Linked DNA regions of Arabidopsis thaliana. The protein of the gene in region 3 purifies or fractionates together with the protein of the main gene of each other region. This does not show direct contact. Each region holds a gene or a part of one and is shown on either strand. Other genes may lie near its edges.

Evidence for each region.
Region 1: the proteins of RPL3P (region 3) and AT1G16870 fractionate together in Arabidopsis thaliana (co-fractionation; one large-scale study listed by BioGRID). This does not show direct contact.
Region 2: the proteins of RPL3P (region 3) and AT5G23535 fractionate together in Arabidopsis thaliana (co-fractionation; one large-scale study listed by BioGRID). This does not show direct contact.
Region 4: the proteins of RPL3P (region 3) and AT1G16740 fractionate together in Arabidopsis thaliana (co-fractionation; one large-scale study listed by BioGRID). This does not show direct contact.

Annotation. Positions count from the first base shown.
Region 1 is NC_003070.9:5,770,232-5,776,593, forward strand, and holds AT1G16870 (mitochondrial 28S ribosomal protein S29-like protein), read right to left. Parts: upstream 3,092-6,362; 5' UTR 2,927-3,091; coding exon 2,490-2,926; intron 2,382-2,489; coding exon 2,215-2,381; intron 2,008-2,214; coding exon 1,796-2,007; intron 1,716-1,795; coding exon 1,461-1,715; intron 1,345-1,460; coding exon 1,258-1,344; intron 1,187-1,257; coding exon 1,014-1,186; intron 845-1,013; coding exon 733-844; 3' UTR 501-732; downstream 1-500. Other genes in the region: ACR11 (uridylyltransferase-like protein), read left to right, coding at 3,565-3,719, 4,101-4,146, 4,233-4,370, 4,502-4,596, 4,738-4,822, 4,919-4,978, 5,309-5,364, 5,473-5,578 and 2 more; UBC36 (ubiquitin-conjugating enzyme 36), read right to left, coding at 6,319-6,356.
Region 2 is NC_003076.8:7,933,414-7,939,452, reverse strand, and holds AT5G23535 (KOW domain-containing protein), read right to left. Parts: upstream 4,138-6,039; 5' UTR 3,907-4,137; intron 3,657-3,906; exon of another isoform or gene 3,609-3,656; 5' UTR 3,583-3,608; coding exon 3,523-3,582; intron 3,433-3,522; coding exon 3,337-3,432; intron 2,942-3,336; coding exon 2,838-2,941; intron 2,750-2,837; coding exon 2,613-2,749; intron 2,409-2,612; coding exon 2,326-2,408; 3' UTR 2,048-2,325; downstream 1-2,047. Other genes in the region: AT5G23540 (Mov34/MPN/PAD-1 family protein), read right to left, coding at 114-305, 394-561, 653-829, 1,011-1,092, 1,184-1,361, 1,552-1,681; CXE18 (carboxyesterase 18), read left to right, coding at 5,080-6,039.
Region 3 is NC_003074.8:5,976,672-5,982,504, forward strand, and holds RPL3P (ribosomal protein L3 plastid), read right to left. Parts: upstream 3,024-5,833; 5' UTR 2,902-3,023; coding exon 2,530-2,901; intron 2,352-2,529; coding exon 2,142-2,351; intron 1,978-2,141; coding exon 1,873-1,977; intron 1,791-1,872; coding exon 1,677-1,790; intron 1,562-1,676; coding exon 1,388-1,561; 3' UTR 1,051-1,387; downstream 1-1,050. Other genes in the region: AT3G17460 (PHD finger family protein), read right to left, coding at 278-874; CRSH (Ca2+-activated RelA/spot-like protein), read left to right, coding at 3,152-3,577, 3,762-4,694, 4,766-5,056, 5,151-5,297.
Region 4 is NC_003070.9:5,724,690-5,730,144, forward strand, and holds AT1G16740 (Ribosomal protein L20), read left to right. Parts: upstream 1-2,932; 5' UTR 2,933-3,083; coding exon 3,084-3,269; intron 3,270-4,066; coding exon 4,067-4,261; 3' UTR 4,262-4,426; downstream 4,427-5,455. Other genes in the region: HCF173 (high chlorophyll fluorescence phenotype 173), read left to right, coding at 1-123, 208-312, 437-517, 620-709, 848-913, 980-1,213, 1,362-1,409, 1,488-1,559; UP6 (uncharacterized protein), read right to left, coding at 1,928-2,071, 2,159-2,623; AT1G16750 (GPI-anchored adhesin-like protein, putative (Protein of unknown function, DUF547)), read right to left, coding at 4,532-4,843, 4,924-5,043, 5,123-5,215, 5,307-5,366, 5,447-5,455.

The DNA.
Region 1 (6,362 bases), on a different chromosome or scaffold from region 3:
TTTTTCATGAATCTGGAAAAAATGTGATCTTGCTGGTGGGTTCGTTTGGTGGTGGTTGTAGTGTTATTTTCTTTCCTTTTAATTCTCATTAAAATTTTTCTTTTGGGTCTCCGAGTTATTACGGTTAGGATGGTGATGCTTGGAGGGTGTGGTTTCATTTTCCTAAGATGAGCTAATTGTTTTTTCTTCTCATTCTTCTTCTTCGCCTTTTGGTTTGTATAGCTCTTCATGTCTATTCTTTTTCAATAGAACTTGTGTACTTTTCTCAATGTGTTATGTTATGTCTAAATTTTTCCTTTTTGTGAAAACAAACATCAATTTGGTGTTCTTTTTAAACCTATTTGGCTATCTTCTATGCTATATGGTTTTGGTGTAATCATAACTCCGCACAATAAATATGCAGTTCCGCAATTTCTTCCCATCAATTGCCTGTTTTGTGAGTGATTCTTTCACTCTTTCACAACTTTTTATTTTTGCATAACATTGTTATCAACTCGAGCGATAATAAATGAGAGGCACTGATTTTATTAGAAAGAAATTTAGGTCCAAAAACCAGTGTTTTACAGACAACAAGGAAACCTAAAACTACAAACTCAAACAACAAAAATCTTCCTTTAATTCAGAAAGGTCAATGAAAAGAGTTTCTCTCCCAAACTAACGGGATAACTTAAAACACCAGAAAAGGCGACAAATCAAGATCACAATCTATTTTGTTTGTTTGTATATTGTTCCTCAACGCATGAAAGGGGCTAACCAACGCATCTCTGCTCCATTTCCATTTGCCAGATAGTATATCTTCTTCCAGTTTTCTTCGTTGAATACTTCACGCCGAACTAGTCTTTGCCTGAAACAATACCATATTGAACGTTCGTGAAATCGATATTCGGTTTAGGCCCATACACATGTCAAGTAGATAGACTCAATAATGAACTATAACTAAAAAACGGGTCTGATCAGTTGAGAGGAGGATTACAGAGCTGAGTACTATTAAAATTGGTTTCATGTTAACTCACCGAAGGTAGTAATAGCAGACAGCTTCTGCTTCATCCAAAGAATAACGTGGGAATTGCTGACGAGCATCAACTGGAACATCTGGCAAGTCTTTGCGTAGTTTTCCTACTGCTGTTGAATGTGAGAATGCACCCACCATCATATCTTCATGCATCATGCTTCTGAAAGCATTCACCTGCCAAAAGAATTGAGTTAATTGCGATTTTTGTTTTCTGGATCATAAATCAATTTGGAAGAAAAATTCACCGTTGTAAGTTCTCTGGCATGTATAGGTCGGCAAGAACGCGGTGTTACGGGCTCTTCAAACTCGCTGAATGTAAACCAACTGTTATACTGAAAGACAAGTAAACAACAAGAAACAAGCAGCATTAGCTCTAGTGAAAAAGAGAGAGATTTAAAATAATAGAAGGCGAAATATGGTATCATAAAGGGGAAAACTGGGGACTAACTTGATCGATTACAATCAACACTGGTACATCTTTTACAACTGAGAGTTCTTTTCTAAGTCGCACAACGACATTAACAGCTGCATGAGTGCTCTTAATTCCCATTTGCACAAGGTCATACAGAGTTGAATCCTCGGGAATAGGCATAGCATCTGCTCCTTTCAAGTATCCAACACCCGCACCCTCTCCAAGCACGATAGGATCATGGATTTTGCACCGTAACTCTCTTAAGCGGGATTCATTGAACTTGACAAAATCCTACAGAAGTTAAGTTTATTAAGAAATGCTGTTAAATAGGAAGAATTCCATTCCAAAAGAGGAGGCATGTGGAATCTTGCCTTGAGAATATTCTCAGCTTGTAGAGGAGTGTCCCAAAACCCTGTATGTGGATTCTTATAGAAGTAGCCACCGTGAGTCCAGTCACGTCCTTTTGGTGCATATAAAACTAACCAGCCTTCGTCACGTGCCCAGTGAACAAGCATCGCCAGAGCAATACTCTTTCCACACTTAACAGGGCCATCCAAGACAATCTGCTTCTGAAGTTTGACACCTTTTCAGAAAGAAAGAGGAAGCAATGATTATAAATACCTATGGTATTACAGATCCCCGGATAAGGGCATATGACAAGCAAGACTTAGCAAACAAATTAGGCTGCTTTCGTTTCAAAGGAAAATAAAAACACACAAAACTGTTAACCATAGAAGAGATCACTAATCGTGATACTTAGAAATCAACATAACGGAAACAAAGAACACACCTTTACTGTCACTTGGCCACATGGGAGGATCAGCAATGCGTCTAAAATTATCCCTCAGAGCCAAGTAACTTTTTCTGACAAGCAATGCAGGTCTCCATGATTCATTAAACTCATCTTCAATTCCTGAAGCTAATCCTTCCGGCAGAACTGCTTTCAGTGCTGCCTCACTATCATTCCCACAATATATATATTACATCAACACACACAAAACGATTCATACAAAATTCTAAAAATAGATAAACAGAAACATAAGGGAAAGAGAGAATTGAGATTACTCGAATTTGAAGTAGGAGCCAATATCCTTGTGAGTCAGCTGCGATAGTGTAGTATCTTTGGGAGTAAAGAGAGGCCTTCCATTAGGACCAACATCTAGAGACGGAATCTTCTCATCATCAGCTAGTCTCTTGGCACGACCCGCTTCAAGGTCGTCTCCACCGGCGGCTCCAAACTCTCCTTCCTCAGCTCCGGCGGCACCAGGATCGCCGCCTTTAGGTTTGGATTTTTTGCCTTCAGATTTCTTCGTTTTGGTGATTGAAGATTTCGTGCTCTTCGAAGATGAAAAGCATCGATGAACGTGATCTAAACTCGGGAAAAGTGTTCCCACGGCGGCTGAAGTCGGAGGTGAGAAATGACAAACGGTATTATTTAGAATCGAAGACTTCCGATTCAATTTGGCATTCCCGGCGGCGATTCTTAAACCGTACTTCCACATTTCTCTGGTTCGTATCTCTTGAGTCTGACTCAAGGTTTTAGGGAGGGATTTGGACGCAAATCTGACGAACCAACGAGAGGGATGAAGCAGCGAGAAAGTGGCAAACTTGTAATTTTCGATATGATGATCACTTTAGCGTTAGGCCCATTAAACAGTGGGCTGAAGCGTTTGAGATGAAAGTTTGGGCCATAAAGGCCATTACTTATAAAGGATGACGTCATGTTCCATTTAACCTAGTTATTTGTTTTAGCGCCACCTAATGTTTTAACTAGTCGGTAAAACACTGACCAATAGCATGTCACATCCGATAAAATCGGGGCCAATAGGAATGTGAAGAATTTGTCGAATTGTGTACTTTTTTAAATTTTAAAAGAAGACAATATTTGGTGGAATTTAAAAAGAAAATGTAAAAGTAGGCAAGGAAAGGGAAAGCAAGAGAAATGGCGATCTAACGTTGAAGATAATAAGAAGGACGAAACGGGCATTTTTTTTTTGTGTGTGTGTGTCACATCTTTTTTATTATCCTCTCATGGCGGATAACACGAGACCTGTCCAAAGGCTCTTCTTCTTCTTCGTCATCACTACTACTACTCCTCTCTAACGTTTTCCTCATTCTTCTTAATTCCGATTTTTGAGTGATGGCTATGGCCTCTGCTTCTGGTTCTGCTCTTTGCTTCACTGATGCTTCTAGCTCTCTTGCTTTAAGACGCGATTGTGGAGCTCTTTGCTTGCCTCCTAGGACAGTTACGTTTGGATTTGTCGATAAACCTCTTGTCAATCTCGAGCGATTAAGGTTTTTGTTTTTTGGCTATCTCTTGATGCCTTCTTGAGAATTTGAATTCGAGCTTCTTTTGGATTGCTTTTTCGATTGTGATCTTAGTTTTGTGCTGATTCGAGTTTCATGAAGTAAATACTGTTTCCGAAACAAATTCTTTTGTAGTGAATTTTCTCCACAGATCTCTAAATCCTTAAAAAGCATCTGATACCTTTTTTTAACGATTATCAGAATTTTGTGTTCCGAGTTGCTAATCTTTTTAAAATGTCCAAATGATTTTATTGCTGGTTATAAATTCGTATCTTTTGCTGGAATTCGATTCAAAGCACAGATTGTTTTGAGCTGATCTTCTACGGATTCAAATACTTCAATTCAATTCTTTTTTTTTTTTTTCTTCAGATTATCCACTTTGAAGATTAGAGCATCAAATGCTACTGCTGTGGAGGTATGAAAATGAAATGATTACACAAGGACACTAGTAATTTGAATAGACTTTTTAAAGTTTATATGTTTTTGTTTTTGATTTTGAAGAATGGAAAGCAAGAAGGAAGTGCTGCTGATTCTGATAAAGTTCCAACTCCAGTTGTTATAATCGACCAAGATTCTGACCCTGATGCAACCGTTCTTGAAGTTACATTCGGAGATCGTCTTGGAGCTTTACTTGACACTGTAAGGAAGGATACCTTCTTCTTACTCACTTGTTGCTAGCTCTGCATAATCGACCAACATTCACAAAAGCTTCTTACTTCCTTTCCTGCTTTTTTGACTGCTTCTTGATCTGATCAACTTTGCCCTTCTAGATGAATGCGCTCAAAAACTTGGGATTGAATGTCGTCAAGGCAAATGTTTACCTTGATTCTTCCGGCAAGCACAACAAATTTGCCATTACTAGAGCGTATGTCTTTTCATATCATCAAAGAGTATTTTGAGCTCCAAGAGTCGTTTAGATAGTTAATGTTGCTTTGAATCGATTGACTCTGTCAAATAGTTGACTTTAGATTGAGTTTTGAGCTGACTGTAATTGTTGTTACAACAGAGATAGTGGAAGAAAAGTAGAAGACCCTGAATTGCTTGAGGCCATTCGTCTCACAGTCATAAACAATCTGCTTGAGTTTCATCCTGTAACTACTTCACATCCTAATATCCTCTCTTTCTATTTTTCCTATATCTTGCATAATTTTTTAACTCACACATTGCTTCTCGATGATTTGGATCAGGAATCAAGTTCTCAGTTGGCAATGGGAGCAGCTTTTGGTGTTCTTCCTCCAACTGAACCGGTAAAAACCTTAAACTGTGATGCTCTTTTTATAACCTTATCCACTTCTTTTGTATTGCACTAATTCTTCAAGTAGTTAGCATCCTCGAACATAAAGGTCAAGACTGCTTGTCGTTTCCTCGGTCACGTACAGATAAGAAACAATAATAGAGAAAACAAAGACTTAACTAATAATCAACATATTTGGATTTGGCGGGTCAATGTAGAGTACAAGTATTAAACTTCATTATAGTATTAATCACTTTGATGAAGAAGGGAATACCCACGCAACTTCAAAGTAGCTTCAAAATTCATTTTCCTTCTTCTGTATTTTGGATTGGGATGTTGACAGATTGACGTGGACATAGCAACACATATAACCATTGAAGATGATGGACCAGACCGCAGGTAATGTATACCCATACCTTATCTCAACTCTAGAACCTTATCCAAATGCTTTTATTCTTATGATATATGATCTGATCATTGATCCATAATTATTTGTTGATGATGCAGTTTACTCTTCATAGAATCAGCGGATAGACCTGGACTATTAGTTGAGCTGGTGAAGATCATTTCAGATATCAGCGTCGCTGTTGAATCTGGAGAATTCGACACCGAGGTATCTAATAATCCTGTTTTTTAATGTCTAAAACATATACCCTCCGCTATAATATCGCTCTGTTTCTCATGTTGCTTCTTCTTGTTGTATGTGAAACAAAAAGGGTTTGTTGGCTAAGGTGAAGTTTCATGTAAGCTACAGGAACAAAGCCCTAATCAAGCCTCTCCAGCAGGTTAAAATTCTGAAATTAGACTTTTCTCTTTGATAAGTTGAAATGTTTTTACTGAAATGAAATCAAATTTTGTATTTGTAGGTCCTTGCTAATAGTCTGAGGTACTTCTTGAGGCGTCCATCAACTGACGAGTCAAGTTTCTGATTATGCCCATTTTTCAAAATCTCAAGTCTCATTCCTCGTGACTACTATTTTTACCACTTTTTTTTTTTTTTACATTTGACCAAAATAAGCTGCTTCATACACCTGTAATAGTAACATTATGCATCATTCATCCAATTTACTTTGATTCACAACCTGTGAAAATCTGATTATCTACACCACTTTATAAAGATTATTATAGAGCATATATAACAAAAACAAAGATCAAAAGCAAGCACAATTGAAGAAAGTTAGATTCCAGATATGGGTAAACGAGTCTTAGATCCCCCTAGTTATACAAATTCAGAGAGTACAAATCTTTTTCCTCTGTTTTCAGAAAAAGGATTCAGATAAAACCTTGAGATAGAGTTTCACCATATATAATGTTATTTAAATGACAATGATCTTTCTCCATTTGCAGTCTTCTTTAAGCACCACTTGCGTAAAGACGAGTCCATTCCTTAGCTGCAT
Region 2 (6,039 bases), on a different chromosome or scaffold from region 3:
TACAGTACAACCTTGTAAAAAGCTAGCAGATAAAAAGAGAACATTCAGTAGAAGCCAAAGAGATGCAGAAGAACAAAGCTCAATGACTTGAAGCGGCTGGAGAAGTAAGCTCTCTAGAAGACAACAGTGTCGAGCATAGTGCCTAGTGTCTGAACAATGTTGGATGACATGAGGTTCGAGACATGTTCTTCCAGATGCTTCTTTGCATCTTGTCTTCCCACATTCACAATTGCCAGCTTCTCTGGTGACAACTCGTCCTCCTCTTGAACCGCCTTGTTATATTTAGCAGCCAAGCTCAACATCTCCTGTTAAACAGGAGATAATGAAAATGTCAATGAACATGATTGTAGAATATGCTTGAACAGATAAAAACATAACCCTGTGTTTCTTTACCTGGACCGTCTGTTCGTTGGTCTTGGAGTGGGTGTCAAAGCGTCTTAGCGTCAGACCATCTGTCCATTTCTTCTTGTGGAGGTTGAGTAACATCTTCTCCTCAAGCTCGTTCTTCCTATAGTTGATTGCTATTGAGTAATAGTGTCTGTTCAACCCGTGAATCAAAGCCTGCATAGTAGTATCCAAAAGTCAGTATCAGAGAAAACCTTTGATTTCGTTTCAACTTAAAAACAGGACACATTCAGTTAGTGATAATCACCTGGATCGATGGTTTGTTCAAGTGCCCAAGGTTCGATGTTGTTTGACGGGGTTCCTGCCCAAGCATAATGGTCTGTGGATTTATGGAGCGGAACGCATCAATCACCACCTTTCCTTTCACACTCTGAATCGGATCTACCACCACTGCTACAGCTCGCTGATTCAAAGCTTCAAAACTCTACAAAAGCACACAGATATTCACAATGAACATATATAATACAAAGTGAATCACAACAGGGTATAGAACACAATGAGTAACATTCTATTTAGTTTTTTGAGCCATCAATAAAGCAAACAACAAATTCTCAAGTGCAATTCACAAATTGATAAGTATGCAAACAGAGCAAACAAAACTCTACCTGTTGAGTATTAATGTCAACCCCAGAAAGCCAGCAGCCGAATCCAGGATGTGAATGATACCAACCAACCACCATCTCAGGTCTGAAACAAGATACAAGAAGAATCAGATCCAAAACCTAAATAGGAAACCTCACTTAAGCGTAGTAAATAGGTTTAGAGAAGAACTAGTTACCTTCCGGTCTGTTTAAGCATGTCGAGCATATTAGTCTGGAAAACATGATCAACAGCTTCAACACTAACACCAGTACCACTCTGAGGCATCGCAAAAACATCCACAACCCTAACAGTGTATTCATCCACAAACTCTCCAAGCATCAATCCCATGACTTCCATAGGAACACCAGCTCTTCCTGCAATATTCCGATCAATTTTCATTAAATCTCTACTCAAATCCGCATTTTGAATCTCAGAAACAGATCGAATAAAACCCTAGAGTTCCAGAGCAAAAGAGGACGAGAGTAAAATCACAGAGAACGAGACAAAATCATAAAACCCTAAGCAAGAGAAGACTAAATTAGAGCTTGGGTTTGGATTGATTACCGTGCTTAAGCATCTTGAGGAGAGCGAGAGAAGAGATGTAAACCTGCTCCGATGTATCGAGAGTCGGAGAATCAGGCGATGCGTGACCTAAACCGCCACCAGCTCCGAAGATTCTCTGTAGTCTCTCCATAATCAGATGAATTGATTAGTCGTCTTCTTCGAAAGTTTGTTCTTCTGGGTTTTTGCTACAAGAATGGGATCTTATAAGAAAACCTTTCTCAGTTTTCTTTGTTAACAAGACAGACGAAGATGGATCGAATTACTCGATTAGGCGACACTAATTACATATAAGTCCTTCAATATTTCCTTTTATTTATTGTAACCAATAATTCACCAAATTTCCAAATCATCCCCAAAAATAAAAGTTAATAACCAATTTGAATTTCCATATTTTTTTTGTCAAAATTTTAAATTTCATTACAATGCAAATCATGTCATTGTGTTAATATTGTTAATTCGGTTGCATAATATAAATCTACTTTACTTAGAGCTTATAGTTTTCGTTTTATGTTTAGACTTCTGGCTAGTGTATATACAATAACTAAACATGTAAATATTGAACTGTTTTCCAGACGGATTTTATTTGGCACCTTGAAAGTTCACAAGATCAATGAAAGAAAAAAGGAAAACGACTCCGTTTCAGTCATGATCAAAGGTTCTCCAACAAAACCTCACAGCTCTAGACCGAAATCAAACTCTAATGGATGGGAAAAAGAAGAATCCTTTTTGAGAGCAGGCAACATTTTCCAAACGAAACTGTAGAGAGGTTTCAACTCAAAGATCAGGCATGCCCTTTCCAGTTTTAGCATCATATGTCTGCTCCCAGACAAACTCCATTGGTGTGTCCTTAGGGCCAGCTGCAAAGAGAAAAGTATGAATCCTTCTATAAGAAAACCGCTACTATCAAGTTTGTTGATTATGTTGATAGCAAACGAATTATGTTGATTCTATGTTTATCTTATAGCCGATCTATGATTATGTTTTTTTCTCAGATAGCTAACAGACTTCCACTATATATTTCCAAAATCCAACGTTTAAAGAGATATTGAGCTTCTATGTACCAGTTGTGGGTCGCGGCGTTGCCCTTATCTTTAGAATCTCTGGTCGGGGAATTATGGAACCAGATGTGCCAGTGCCTCTGGCTACTCTTACTTTTGTTCCATCTTCTAGGTATTTTACACCAACCTTACAAGGCCTCCTGTGGTAGAAAAGATAATAGATTAATAAGTGATCTCTCGCTTGAGCAAAAGAGTAATTGGAGACAGTAGTGCAGAGTGAAATCATACCCAGTGACAGGATCAACAACTTGGACATTTGAGGCGTGAAGAGGAGCCTCTACAGTGAAAATTCCACCTTCGTGATCAGGGCCTCCCTTTATATGTTTCTTGATCTGAGAACACAGGAAAAAAAAAGCATCAGCGAAAAACATATACAAGCTTCAGTGAGTAGACAAAGACTATCCCAGCAGCAAGGTAGAACATCCAAAACGATAACAGTTTCAAGATAAACAATTCAAAAGAATTGTGTAGCGAAATCCATGGAACTAGAGTCGCTTTGTGATTTAGTAACCGTCTACTTGATGCTTGGATTAAAAAAATGAGAATCAAATGAAAATTGATAACTCTATGGTTGGTGTTGAGCTAGTGATATGATATTGATTCAGTACTAGTTCATACTCTACAAACCAAATCAAGAACAAAAAAATCAAAAAATGAACTTGTACATTCATTCTCTAAATGCATGAGACAGAGCGAACAAAAGATATCCAGAACAAGACTATCTCACCAGATTCTTCCCTTCAACGATGACACGATTTTGGGATCGAATGACACGCTTTATGGTTCCAGTCTCACCCTTATCTTTCCCACGAATTATCATTACCTGCACATAAAATCATACCCCAGAAACAACAGATCAAAAATGAAACCAAACTAATGAACACCACAAGAAGAACATGAGTGGTGTACTCACATTGTCTCCTCGAAGTATCTTCCAGTGTCTGATGAGTTTCTCAGCAGCTTTCCAGCCCATAGCTGCTACTCTCTTTGAGAATAATCCTAAAAATTACATCACAACAAATTCACGTCTTTCTTCTAACAAAAAAAACAACGAGAAACGGAAAGCATGAAGAATCCAAATCAAAGAAATTGAAAATGGCAGGGCCAATTTCGAGGGTTTTCAACTGCGGAAAGCCACCTAAATTAGGGTTTTTTCACGTCAAAGATACGCAACCAAAAAATTTATACATAATTCCGATCTAATTCGAAAAGGGAGAAAATTGATGATTAGAAATGATATCGCCGAAATTGACAATTAGGATGCGAAAACAAGTTTGGTCTAATAGAAGAAGCTTGCCTCTGAGAATTAATCGAGAGATCGAGGAAGAGGAAACCAATGGAGTTGAAGCTTTTTTGTTTTCCGCCGACGGTGCAGGCAGCGTTAACCACGGTGGCGAAGAAGTCGTCAGTATTTTGATTGTGAGTGTAAAAAAGATAAACCCTAAAACCTCTCATGTCTTCAAACATTAAAACGACACCGCATTCGCAATTTGGCCAAAAAAATTATAAGTCACTAACTAATTAGGTATTAACGATTTTAATTAATTGGGATGAGACGATATATGCTCTGTTTTCTTTTCTTTACTAGAGATGCACTGTTGATGTATTATTAGAGACCAAATTTTTTGTATTCCGATGTGTTAGAAGTTCACATTTTTATATGGTTTGAACTTGGAAGGTAACTACGGGATTAAATATGCCTGGATTATATCGTGTATCTAAATCATGATGGTGTAAATTCGTTCTTGTTTTGCTTTTTGCTTTGAATGGATGTTGTAGTTAGTGCGGACTAATCCGTAGCGGTTTAGTCCATACCATTTTTGGGTCGGACAACAAACCGATGCGGACTTAGTTTAAAGACTGTCCGCAGTTAGTCCGATGCGGTTGTCTTCTATTTTTTTTAAGTATGTACTATTACGGATTATAATTTATGAATGGTAAATAAAAAGCGGTCCGGTCTATAAACGGTTTTGTCTGTTTGGACCGCTGTAATCATTCAAAGTTTGTTTTTACAAATTTACCCATGACCACTGTTGAATCTAACATAGAGAAGAATTGAATGAGATTGAAAATTAGTTGATGCAGGTTTCTGACATTAGAAATTACTTGCCTCCTGCAACATGTACATTGATTGAATCTACTTGCTCTTATGTGACTCCATTGCGTTGGCCATGTGACATGACTTCATCGACATTCAACACTGTAGTAGAAGAAAACTAGTGACTTAAACCTTAAGCCAAATCCAAAATATTTGAGATTTTTTTCTATTTTTACGTTTACGTGTTTCCTTGAAACGATTATTTTCATTAGTTGTTCTAACTATAAACGTCAATAAAAACATAGAAAATTACAGCTGGCAGAATATTTCTTAGCCTATATAGACGAAGTAATAACAGCTTACAAATTCACTGTACTCTTCCACCAAATCCATTAATCATCATCTTTTCTTCACAGAGAGGAAAAAAAAAAAATGGCGACAGATTCTCAACCAAACCAAAAGCTAACGCTTCCGTTAAAAACAAGAATCGCTCTCACCGTTATCTCCACCATGACCGATAACGCTCAACGTCCTGACGGAACTATCAACCGCCGTTTCCTCCGCCTCTTCGATTTCCGTGCTCCTCCCAATCCTAAACCCGTCAACATCGTCTCCACCTCCGATTTCGTCGTGGATCAATCCCGTGATCTCTGGTTCCGATTGTACACTCCACATGTCTCCGGCGATAAAATCCCCGTCGTTGTTTTCTTCCACGGCGGTGGTTTCGCTTTCCTCAGTCCTAATGCGTATCCTTACGATAATGTATGCCGGAGATTCGCTAGGAAATTACCTGCTTATGTCATCTCCGTTAACTACCGTCTCGCTCCGGAGCATCGTTATCCTGCTCAATACGACGACGGTTTCGATGCTTTGAAGTACATCGAGGAGAATCACGGTTCGATTCTTCCGGCGAACGCTGATCTCTCGAGATGCTTCTTCGCCGGAGACAGTGCAGGTGGAAACATCGCGCACAACGTCGCGATTCGAATTTGTCGCGAGCCGCGGTCATCTTTCACCGCCGTGAAACTCATCGGACTTATCTCGATTCAACCTTTCTTCGGCGGAGAAGAGAGAACGGAAGCGGAGAAACAACTCGTCGGAGCTCCTTTGGTTTCACCGGACCGAACAGATTGGTGCTGGAAAGCGATGGGATTAAACCGGGATCATGAAGCGGTTAACGTCGGCGGACCAAACGCGGTTGATATATCGGGTCTGGATTATCCGGAGACGATGGTGGTAGTAGCTGGGTTTGATCCGTTAAAAGATTGGCAGAGAAGTTACTACGAGTGGTTAAAGTTATGCGGTAAAAAAGCAACGTTAATCGAATATCCAAACATGTTTCATGCGTTTTACATTTTCCCTGAATTGCCTGAGGCGGGTCAGTTAATTATG
Region 3 (5,833 bases):
ATACTTTTAAAGATTGAAGATGGAACCGATTAATATGAATGAATGTCACTGAGTCTTACACACACCATTGTACAAAATAAAAGCCCTAATGTATCCTAATTCAAAGTCTCCAGCTTTCTCTGGGAGACATTTGATCAAACACGTCTGAATATGAACTAAAATTCACCAAGATAAATGGCCAATAACCGCAAAAAAGTAGTCTTTCCTTGAACCCTAGAAGCGATATATCACACAAAAGCTCTACGTACCAGTAAAATTGCTATCAAGATTTAGAAAATCAGCGTTCATCTTCCTTCCTCTTGCCGGTGACCTTACTCTGTCGAATAACAATATCCTGAAGATTCGTCAATGCACCTTTAGCTCTCAACTTGGCCGTTTTAGCTGCTATGATCTTCTTAAGAGCTTCTTCCTTTAACAGAGCCACCGCTTTATTCATATTAGCCACCGAGATATTTCCAGCTGCGACAAGAGCCATTGCCGATTTCGGAGTGAGAGGCGTTTCATCGGGGACGTCTTCATTGACTCGAGATTTGGGGAAGAAGGTGAAATTGGGGTTAGAACATGGCTGGCATGTGAAGGAAGAAGCTGGTGGTGGAGCGGAGGAGGAGGAAGATGCGGCGGAGGAAGACGGCGGCTGAGTTGAGCAAGAAAGGTGGGTGCTTGATGGGCAATTGACGCAGATGATACGAGCTTGTGGAGGAACGGCGTTGTCGAAGAGATTGAAACAAACAGAGCAAAAGTGTTCTCGGTACTCTTTGAGCAAACAATCGGTGCAGAGTCGCCGGAAAGCGCCGGTTTTGATGACGGTGTGGATGAACGACGGCTCTTTTTCACGGCAGACTATGCATTCGCGCTGTTTCTGTTCCGGATTCATGGCTAAGTCAACGAGATTGAGAACTCTCTCCCTCAACGGTAACCCTAAGCGAGAGAGAGAGAGAGAAAGATGAAAGAAGCGTTTGTGTTGTTCTCAGAATGTTGAAGATCTTGGGCTTGAAGAGACTTCAACGTATAATTCTATTGGGAGCTGAAAAAACTTATATAGAAGATTAAAAATTGGGTCTTGATTCTTGTTGAATTAAAAACAGAATCTTTTATTTTTTGTTAATACGAAGTGTATATATTTGGAAGATGAAAGGAAACATAATAATCTTGTGTTTTCCTCATTGCTTATTGCAAACTCTTAAGCATTGTGATATAACAAATGCGAGCAAGCCTAAATTCCTCTATTTAATCGTTTTCAAATCATACATCCAAACAACTAAAATAAGAAAAAGACAAATTCATCTGCAAAAAGCTTTAGCTCTGTGATTCCTTCACTTCCACAGCTTCTTTCTGGTCTCTAATCATTGTAAAAGCCCAAATAAAGATCAAGATCATGCTGTTTTCATCACTCTGCCAACATAAATGGGTCAACTTCTCCAAGATCTGCAACCAACGGTTCTAATTCTGATGGATCTTCATCTTCTGGAGCTAAGTAAGTTGGAAACGGAAGCTTTGAGATGTCTGGTTTCTTGCACCATGCATCTTTTATGAACACAAAGTTTCCTTCTGCACCAGGAACCTGCAACAACACCAAATCACAATCATGACCTACTAATAAGAGAAGAGAAATGGAGCTCATGTTTTGTGACAGACAGATCCTAGCCAAAGACTGGAACTGGGATTGAGATACTTACTTGTCCTCTCACCCACATGAGGTTCCTCGCAGGATCGATCTTGTAGACCCAAACGTTCTTTACTGTCCTCTGATCTGCACCCATTCTCCCAGCCATCTTTCTGCCCTTGAACACCTACTCAAGTGTATTTATCAAGTCAGTAGTGTCATTTGCTTTGGAGAAAAATTCCCAAGAATCTTAGCAATTTGACACATACCTTTCCAGGAGCATCTCTTTGCCCTGTGGAACCCCCGCTTCGATGGGACAATGAAGCACCATGTGATGCCGGCATTCCACTGAAACCATGTCTTTTCATGCATCCCTGCAAATTACACAGCAAAAGACATCAATAACACAGCCATTACTTTGCACAAACACTATTTCATCCGCACTCCATTCTATATATCTGCCACATTGTCACTAGACTATTCAACTTATCATCGCAAAGAAAAGATAAAACTTTAGAGCCCCTGAGAATGGTTTCACCTGAAAACCTTTTCCTCGAGTGATCCCAGTGACATCAACGTACTGTCCCGGAACAAAATGGCGGACACCGAGTGAAGTACCAACAGGAAGAAGAGCGTCTTCAGTCACAGGAAATTCCCTCAACTTCCTCTTTAACGGCACACCTTGTGCTCTGAAATGCCCCACCACAGCTTTTGACAAATGCTTCGGTTTCTTTTGCCCACATCCGATCTAACTAACAGAACAACACATGCCAATCAAATTACTAAACCATGAGCTTCATAAACCCACACATAAAGTTACAGCAATCGATTGATTGATCAAGTAACCACTAAGAGCCCTATCAATAAATCCAGGAGATACAAACTACATGGCCAAAATGGGAATGAGTAAACTGCGATGGAGTTACCTGTAACGCAAAAATGCCTTCTTTCTCAACAGTTTTAACCTGAGAGACGATATTATCATCAACCCAAAGAATAGAAATCGGAATCCTCTTTCCCCATTTGTCCCAGAGCGCAGTCATCCCACACTTAACCGCGATGATCCCAGTCCTCTTGGATCTACTAGACATCTCACCTTGTTTCGCCTCAATGATTCGGGTCTGAGCCCCGATAATATCAGATCCACCACCGTCCATCAACCCAGTATCGGAGCTGAATCGTCGGATGAGAAAGAAGCTACTACAATGAGGAAGAGATTCAGAGGATGAAGGAGTTATAGACCGTATTGATAGAAACTGATTGATTCGAGAAAGGAGGCCTCTCGGTACGGCCGCCATGATTTCGAATCGAAGCGACCTTCAATGGCTAAAGTCTAAACGAAGAAGGAGAGAGATGCAGAAACCAGAACTCTCAAGGCTTTTGCGTAGGGTTTTAGATGGGCGACAAAATGATAACCAAAGCCTCTATCTCAGAAAGAGAGTCTCAATATTATTTATTTCCCTCTTTTTATAATATGTGGACGATAATAAAAACAAAATCCTACGTGGCTTATCCATTGCGACATATAAAACAAAAACAAAACGGTACATGAAAATTTTGCCTCAATTTTCAAAATCAATCTCAAATTCTCAAATGTCTGTGATTCGTCCTTCTCCGATTCCAATTCCGAGATGCAGATCTCAGGTACTGCATCGTCGTCTTTATTCGATTCAATTGATTCAGCGACGACGTCGACGGTGGAATCCGAGGTCGGAGGTGGAGGATACTGCGATTGAATCGACGGCTCGGTCTCCGGAGGCAGCGGGAGGGAAAATGGTGGTGGAGCTTGTTGGAGCTTTCAACGAAGTAACGGAGAGGATGAATTCGGTTTGGTTGTCGACGTCTTCGTCTAGGTTACTCTTTAAAGCTCTCAAGCTCTCGATTCCGATTTTACAGTCTCTTCCTCTTGCCTCTGATGGTCGCTCTCCTCTTTCTAAGGCTCTCTCACTCTCTATCATTCTCGCAGATCTCCAGGTTTACTCTCGATCCTTGCATTTTTCACAGTTTCTTGTTTAGATGAATTAGGTTTTGTTGTTGATTCTGTGACGAAATTGAAGCATTAAGTTAGAACTAGAATCTGAGATTAAGTGAGTTCTGTGACATTGTTATTTGAAAAGCTCTATCAATTGATATTTGATAAATTATGTGGTAATGGTAGATGGATGCAGAAGTTATCTCGGCGAGTATATTGAGTGAGGTGGTGGACGCGAATGCGATATCTATATATGAAGTTAGAGACCATATTGGTACTGGAACTGCTCATCTGCTTCATGAGATTTTTCGTGTGAAGAATATTCCTTTTAAAGTTGATGTGTTAGACGATGAAACTGCTGCTTCATTGAGAAAGTTCTATTTAACCTACTATGACATCAGAGCTGTGATTATGGATTTGGTTTCAAAGCTTGATGAGATGAGGCATTTGGATCACTTGCCAAGGTATCGCCAGCAGATTCTCTCTCTTGAAGTGTTGAAGATTTATTCTCCTTTAGCTCATGCGGTGGGGGCTAATCACCTGTCACTTGAGCTCGAGGACATCTCTTTCCGTTATCTTTTTCCGTGTTCGTATATATACTTAGATTCATGGTTAAGAGGTCACGAGAACGGGTCTAAACCGTTGATAGACGTGTACAAAGAGCAGCTTCATCGGTCTTTGAAGGATGATTTGGTTTTGGCTGAAATGGTGAATGATGTATATATTAAAGGTCGGTATAAAAGTCGGTACAGCATGATGAAGAAGCTCCTAAGAGATGGGCGTAAACCGGAAGAAGTGAACGATGTGCTTGGTCTACGGGTCATATTAATGCCTAATTCTGTAGTAAACGATGTTGAAGTTGGCGAAAAAGCCTGTTACAGAACAAGTGAGATTATCCGGTCTTTGTGGAAGGAGATTCCGCATAGAACAAAAGACTACATTGCTAGGCCAAAGGAAAATGGGTATAGGAGTTTACACATGGCAGTTGATGTTAGCGACAGCGATCAGATAAGACCTTTGATGGAGATACAAATACGGACAATGGATATGGATGGATCCGCTAATGCTGGAACAGCATCACATTCTTTGTATAAAGGCGGTCTAACCGACCCAAAAGAGGTAAGCACTTCTGTGATTTTTTAGTTTGGCAAATTTAGGAGGTTGAGTTGTTTGTTTAAATTCATGTTTAGGCGAAGCGGCTTAAAGCGATAATGTTGGCAGCAGCGGATCTTGCAGCGATTCGTCTCAAAGATATCTCATCAAATAAACACCAAAGCTTCAAGACAACAACGAACCAGAGAGACAGAGTGTTTTGCCTTCTGGACAAAAACGGGGACGGAATGATCAGCATAGAGGAACTAATGGAAGTGATGGAAGAGCTTGGAGCTCCAGGTGAAGACGCAGAGGAGATGATGCAGCTTCTTGACTCTAACAGCGATGGATCTCTTAGTTCAGACGAATTCGATACGTTTCAGAAACAAGTCCGTTTATTTTTGTTTTCTAACATAAATTTTTCTTCCTCTCTTTTATTTTATAAGTGACTTACTGATGAGGTGTGTGGTTTGTGTTTTGCAGGTAGAGTTCATGCGTAAATGGGAAGATAGAGATAACGAGTACAAGAGTCTTTTAGACGAGAAGCTTCATGATCTTCCACATCAAGATACCACAGGTTTGATACAGTTATACAATAAAGAGCTTGAGGATCGTCTCTCAACCCATTAAAATATCAAACCATTTTTCTACATTCTAATATTGTGTATATATGTATTCCTAATTAATTAATTATCTGTTGACAAAAATATGTATTTCAATCACACACATTCAATTTTACCATACATTTATTTATCATAACAAACTGCTTGTTAATTCTATAGACTACTCCCATCTTATTGATTAAGGAAAAATTAATCCTTTTCAAATTAGAGATACTAAACATTTTTTAATTTTTAATTTTATTTAATAAGATCATAGTTTCTTTCTAATGATGTTGTTCTACACATTTTAAAATATATATATATATATATGTATAGTTTTCTTATATATATTATTTATCATATACTGTATATGTATGGTTTTTTATATATCTATATGTGTTTTAAAATTTCTATTTTTATTTAATAAGATACATATAGTTTCCTTATTATTTTAACTTTAACATTTTTGAAATCGTTTTTAATAAGATATTTGTATAGTTTCCTTATATTTTTTTAAAAAAATAATAATAAATAAATAAATTTTTGTTTAACACGTGTCAAAAT
Region 4 (5,455 bases), on a different chromosome or scaffold from region 3:
GTTCTTTCTGTTGGTGGGAATGGAAGATCCTATGTTGTAATCCTTGAAGCTGGTCCATCATCAGATATGTCTCAGAGCAAACAGTATTTCGCTAGGATCAGTACCAAAGCAGGGTTTTGTCGGGTATATAAAGCATCATCGGTCTTACTCATTAGTCTGACCCCTTTTCCGTTATTTTTTTGGCTAAAACTTTGGTTCCTTGGGCAGGTAAGGGTGCCATTTTCAGCTTTTCGACCGGTCAACCCAGAAGATCCACCGCTAGATCCATTTCTTGTTCACACATTGACAATACGCTTTGAGCCTAAAAGACAGGTTTGCTTACTCTTTTCAAAGCTTCAGCAGTTGGTTTTGCGGATTGATCTGTGTGATCATTAACCGAAAACTTTCATTCGTTGGTGTCTGAGTTAGCAATCTCTTGGGGTTTTTCCTCTTTCAGAGGCCTGTTGATGGACTTGCTGGTGCGCAACAAGATTTGAGAAGTTTTAGCCTTGTATTTGAGTACATAAAAGCTTTGCCTGTAAGTACTCCCAACTTAATGTCTACTTACTGAAGATTATCACCTGAAAGAACGGAAAAAAAAAACAGATACATCATCAGCTTCCTGCATTTTTGTCTGCAGGCGGGTCAAGAAACAGACTTTATTCTGGTATCGTGTACTGGTTCGGGAGTAGAAGCCAACAGAAGGGAGCAAGTGTTGAAAGCTAAGAGGGTAAGTCCATTTTGTCTTACACATCATAATAACTCTTGAATCTTTCGAGGCTATGGATTGTCAGGGCTTTTGTGCCAGTAGGTTCCATCTTTTCACATCTCTATCTCCTTCTCTCTTGATGTCCGCTAAATTTGTTAGGCTGGTGAAGATTCTTTAAGGAGATCAGGCCTTGGATACACAATCATTCGTCCTGGTCCCTTGAAGGTAATGTTCTTTGAGCTCCAGCCATATTGTATATATATGGCTCTGAATACATATTTTCTGATATAGGAGGAACCAGGCGGGCAACGAGCTCTGATATTTGATCAAGGAAACAGAATTTCTCAGGTTATTTCAATCACGAAAAACAAACTCAAGCCACCTAGCAAAAGTTCTCTGATGGAGCCACTTATAACTTCCCAATGCGCTATTTTCTTTCAATTTCAGGGCATTAGTTGCGCGGATGTGGCTGATATATGTGTCAAGGCACTGCACGATTCAACCGCCAGAAACAAAAGCTTTGATGTGAGTTGCAGTTTATAGAGAAACAACTGAGAAAGAATCAATCTTTGACCCTTTTCAAGAACCAAAACTAAGAAAGATTCAATCTTTGATCTATAAAGAAGAAATCACATCATGGATCTCTCAAATTTCTTCCATTTGGTTTTTACAGGTTTGCCATGAATACGTTGCTGAGCAAGGAATAGAACTCTATGAGCTGGTAAAAGAGTAAACAATCACTTGCAATAAGAGTCACATCTACATCATTACATCATCTGATAGTGTTTGTCTCTTTCAGGTGGCTCATTTGCCAGACAAGGCGAACAACTATCTGACTCCGGCTTTATCTGTACTTGAGAAGAACACATGAGAAGAAGAATCATTGATTCCATTTTGTATATTGTACACATCTCAAGCTCTGATACGCATTACATGCATATATACATACGTACATGTATAACTTGTACATACAAGAATCTCTTTGGTCTCTTTATGTCCATTACCATTTATTTCTTATATTCAACTTAAAATTTGTGTGCTAATACAAACAATCCAAGGCCACCAACATAATAAAAAGGGTGTGAAACCCAGTTTTCTATTACACAAAACTCATAATATTTTGAATGATAAACATAAAAAGTATCTTCATTCATTATAAGTAAACATTGAAACTTCAGAAGATCTCAGACTTTGTCTTATTTATCTCAGATAGTCATGAAGGCGTACGACACAAACCCATCAAAGCTTGGAGAAAGGTTTGGCGAGAGAGCTGAAAAACGAAGATGTCGGAGAAACAAACGGCAACTTTCCGGAGCTTTCTTTTGACTTGCTCTCATCTTCTTCCTCTCCGTCAATGGCTTCTTTCTCAGCATCGTCCACTATCTGCTCCGTCAAAAGTAAATTCACAAGTCAGCCAAAAAAGAGTCCAAATTAGTTTACCCGGTGGACCAATTGTTTTTAAAACTAAACCTTTTCGGTGACGGCAGGAGAAACAGACGGAACAATAACAGCGAGCTGAGTTTTAATCCGGTGCAACGCGTCTTTCGTCATACCCTGCGCCGCTCCGGCGAAATCCTTAATGGCTCCTTCCAAAAACTGTTTAGCGTTTTCAAGCGACTCAGATGGAACCGAAGCAGCCGATAGTTTTTCTAACACTTTATCCTTAACCGCCGCAAGATTCTTCAGCCCCAACATGATCGTCTTCCTCTGCTTCTCTCCTTCTTCTTCCTCTGATGAGGAATCCACGGAATCAGGGTTCGTTGCGATTTTGATCGCGTGGTCAGGAGAGTAGAGGTTCCCTTGGCCCACGTTTTCGTCGGATTCTGGAGAGATTTTGATCGCGTGGTTTGGAGAATATAGCTTCCCCTGGCCCACATCGTCCGACACTGCTTCGCCGTTGTATTTTGTGGCGGATATTCGGTGATGATTTTCCATTACTACTACAAGATTTTGACAGTTGAAAACTTGAAATTCTTTCTTTTTTTGGTTTTTTCTGTGTGATGGGTCGAGAAGAACAGAGCAAAGCCACTTAAATTCTGTTTCCGGAAAAGTAATAATGGTTCTGTTTTTGTTTGTTTCCCGGGAAAATGAAGCAGAGTTGGAAAGCTTGTGACACGTGGTAATGACATGGCAACACGTGTCCTCTGTCGGGAGTTACTGGATGGGATAGTGGGCTTTGTTTAGTTTGTGATGTTATATAATAAAGGCCCAGTAGATGGAGAATTGGTTTTAATAATTGTGTGACCGGATTTGTCTACGACCCGACCCGATCGACCCGGAATTGAAACAGAAGGGGGATACACAGAGGCGGCGTTAGAAGAAGGAAATGGAGTTACAGTATTAGTGAGAGAAGGACGAAGAATAGATAGAGGAGGAAGAAGAATAAAGAGAAAAGATGAACAAGAAGGAGATCTTCAAGCTAGCGAAGGGTTTCAGAGGAAGAGCTAAGAATTGTATAAGAATTGCGAGGGAAAGAGTCGAGAAAGCTCTGCAGTACTCTTACAGAGATAGGCGCAACAAGAAACGTGAGATGAGAGGTCTCTGGATCGAGCGCATCAACGCCGGTTCTCGTCAGCACGGTGTACGTTTTCCCCCCAATATTGATTAGATTTTTGCCTATTTGCTTCCCGTCACTGCTAATTGCATTGATTCGATAAATCATGATTAGTTTATAAATAAAACTTCTGAGATATTGGTTGGTTTATTTTTGCAATCTATGATGAGTTTCTTTTAGGATGGAGCTTGGGATTTAGGGTTTTCTTTTGTTAAATTTGGGTGCTTGATTTCTCCAGAGTCTGTGGTTGCTAGTATAACAAGTTCTAGTTTGATGTTTCAAACAGAACTTGATGGATTACATTATAGTCTTAACTTTTTTGCTGTATTCTAGAGATTTTTCTTATGCAGTGGCACTCTATGTTTGCATCTACCTAGTGATAGAGTTAAAACTTGTTGGTTATAACTAGAAGCGAAAGAATTAGATTGAATAGTTGAATTAAAGTGCATTTTAGATTAGCTTATTTTCTTCAGATTTTACTGTTGTATCTTTGATCAATTTGGAGCTTTCCAATATCTGAGTTTGAGATATTTATCCAATGGAGATTTTGGATGTGAATGTTTAATTTGAAACTCAAATATGCTTAAAGAAGTGAATCATTTCGGATTGATTAGAGGAAAAACACATTTCATGTCAATAGTTTTGATCTAACTGAAACAATGATTACTTCCTAATTCAAGTAGAGAAACATATTTTTCTAACTCGGTTACCTCGTTTTAGCTTTGTAACAAGCTAAATATATGCTATTATAATACTCTGTTTCTTTTGAATAAGATGGAAATGACATGTTTGATTGGAATCCTAACATCTAAAACTTGAAACAGGTGAACTACGGGAACTTCATCCATGGACTGATGAAGGAGAACATCCAGCTGAACCGCAAAGTCCTCTCTGAGTTATCTATGCATGAACCTTACAGTTTCAAAGCACTTGTGGATGTCTCCCGCAAGTCGTTCCCTGGAAACAAGAACGTGGTCCAAGCATCTCGGAAAGTAGACATTTCATCCATCAATGCCTAGTTAGGACCAAGTTAGTTTAATCTTGTCCTTCTTATGAACACGGAATATTTAGTTATTTGTCAGAATAACATGTACCCCGGTGATATTACTATACTTTTGCAATTTGAGAGAATGTATTTCGTCTTCTTTATTTCGTTGAGCAGATCTAAATCCATTTATTTGTTTATTAGTTTGAGAAAATAAGATTGAATCACCTAAATAATCATAGATCTAAACCCTAGGATCGGAACAGTATTTGCTTTAATCACATCATTGTGAATCAATGCCTTGCTACGGAAGAAACAAATATCGGAACCGTGAATCAAAAGGAACTATGCCGCATTTGCTACTAGATGAACCCAGAAAACCCCACCATTGTCGCCTGTGAATACACTGCTCAACAAATGCAGCTTGGCGAGGAGGCAAATGACGAGAAATCCACAGAGCAACCTTGCAGTCATCGACAGATTTCTTGGCGAAACAGTGAAGCATTTGGGGCACAATCAACTTTCCCCTTGGGCTCACTCCCACTGACGCCTGGATATAATCTTTCTGAGCTTCTTCAAGTTCTTCTCCTACGTTCTCGGCTGAGTATATTCTCACCTGCAAGCAATTTCTGTGAGAAATTTGCAATATCGGTTCAAGAATCTGATGTAAAATGCAGATAGATATGGAAATATTACCGCAGGAGATGAGTGCATCCCGCAGCTGAGAGCAAATGACACTAGAGGTTCCGGTGTACTTATCCCCGCTTGTCTCTGTTCGTCTGATACTTTCAGCTTGAGAATGGAGAGAAGCAGAGCCTGAATATCCCGGTTTAGGTAAGAGTTATAGAGTAGAAAGTGAAGAGATTGCAGAAAATAAAGAAGGTGAGTTTAGTACAATTTGAGGACGATGCAGAGGAGGGCTCATCTTTAAAGTCATGTATTCGATCGTTGCTGCGTTGTATGAATGGCCACCAACTGTATAAGCAGCCTGATAGAATCTCCAAATCAGAGACTTATACTAACCTCTCTCCGAACCAAACCAAGAAGAGTTAAGTAGTTTTTTTGTGTGGAGATCAAACCTTTTGCATCAAGGAGAAGAGCTTTAAGTCAGTTTTTGGTACGCCGTAAGCCAAGTATGCCTGAATCAGACAATCAGGAAATTGTAAGTTTTGTTGTATCTGCAAATCTAAGTTTAGAGAAATTCCAAAGACTTTATTACATGCATGAT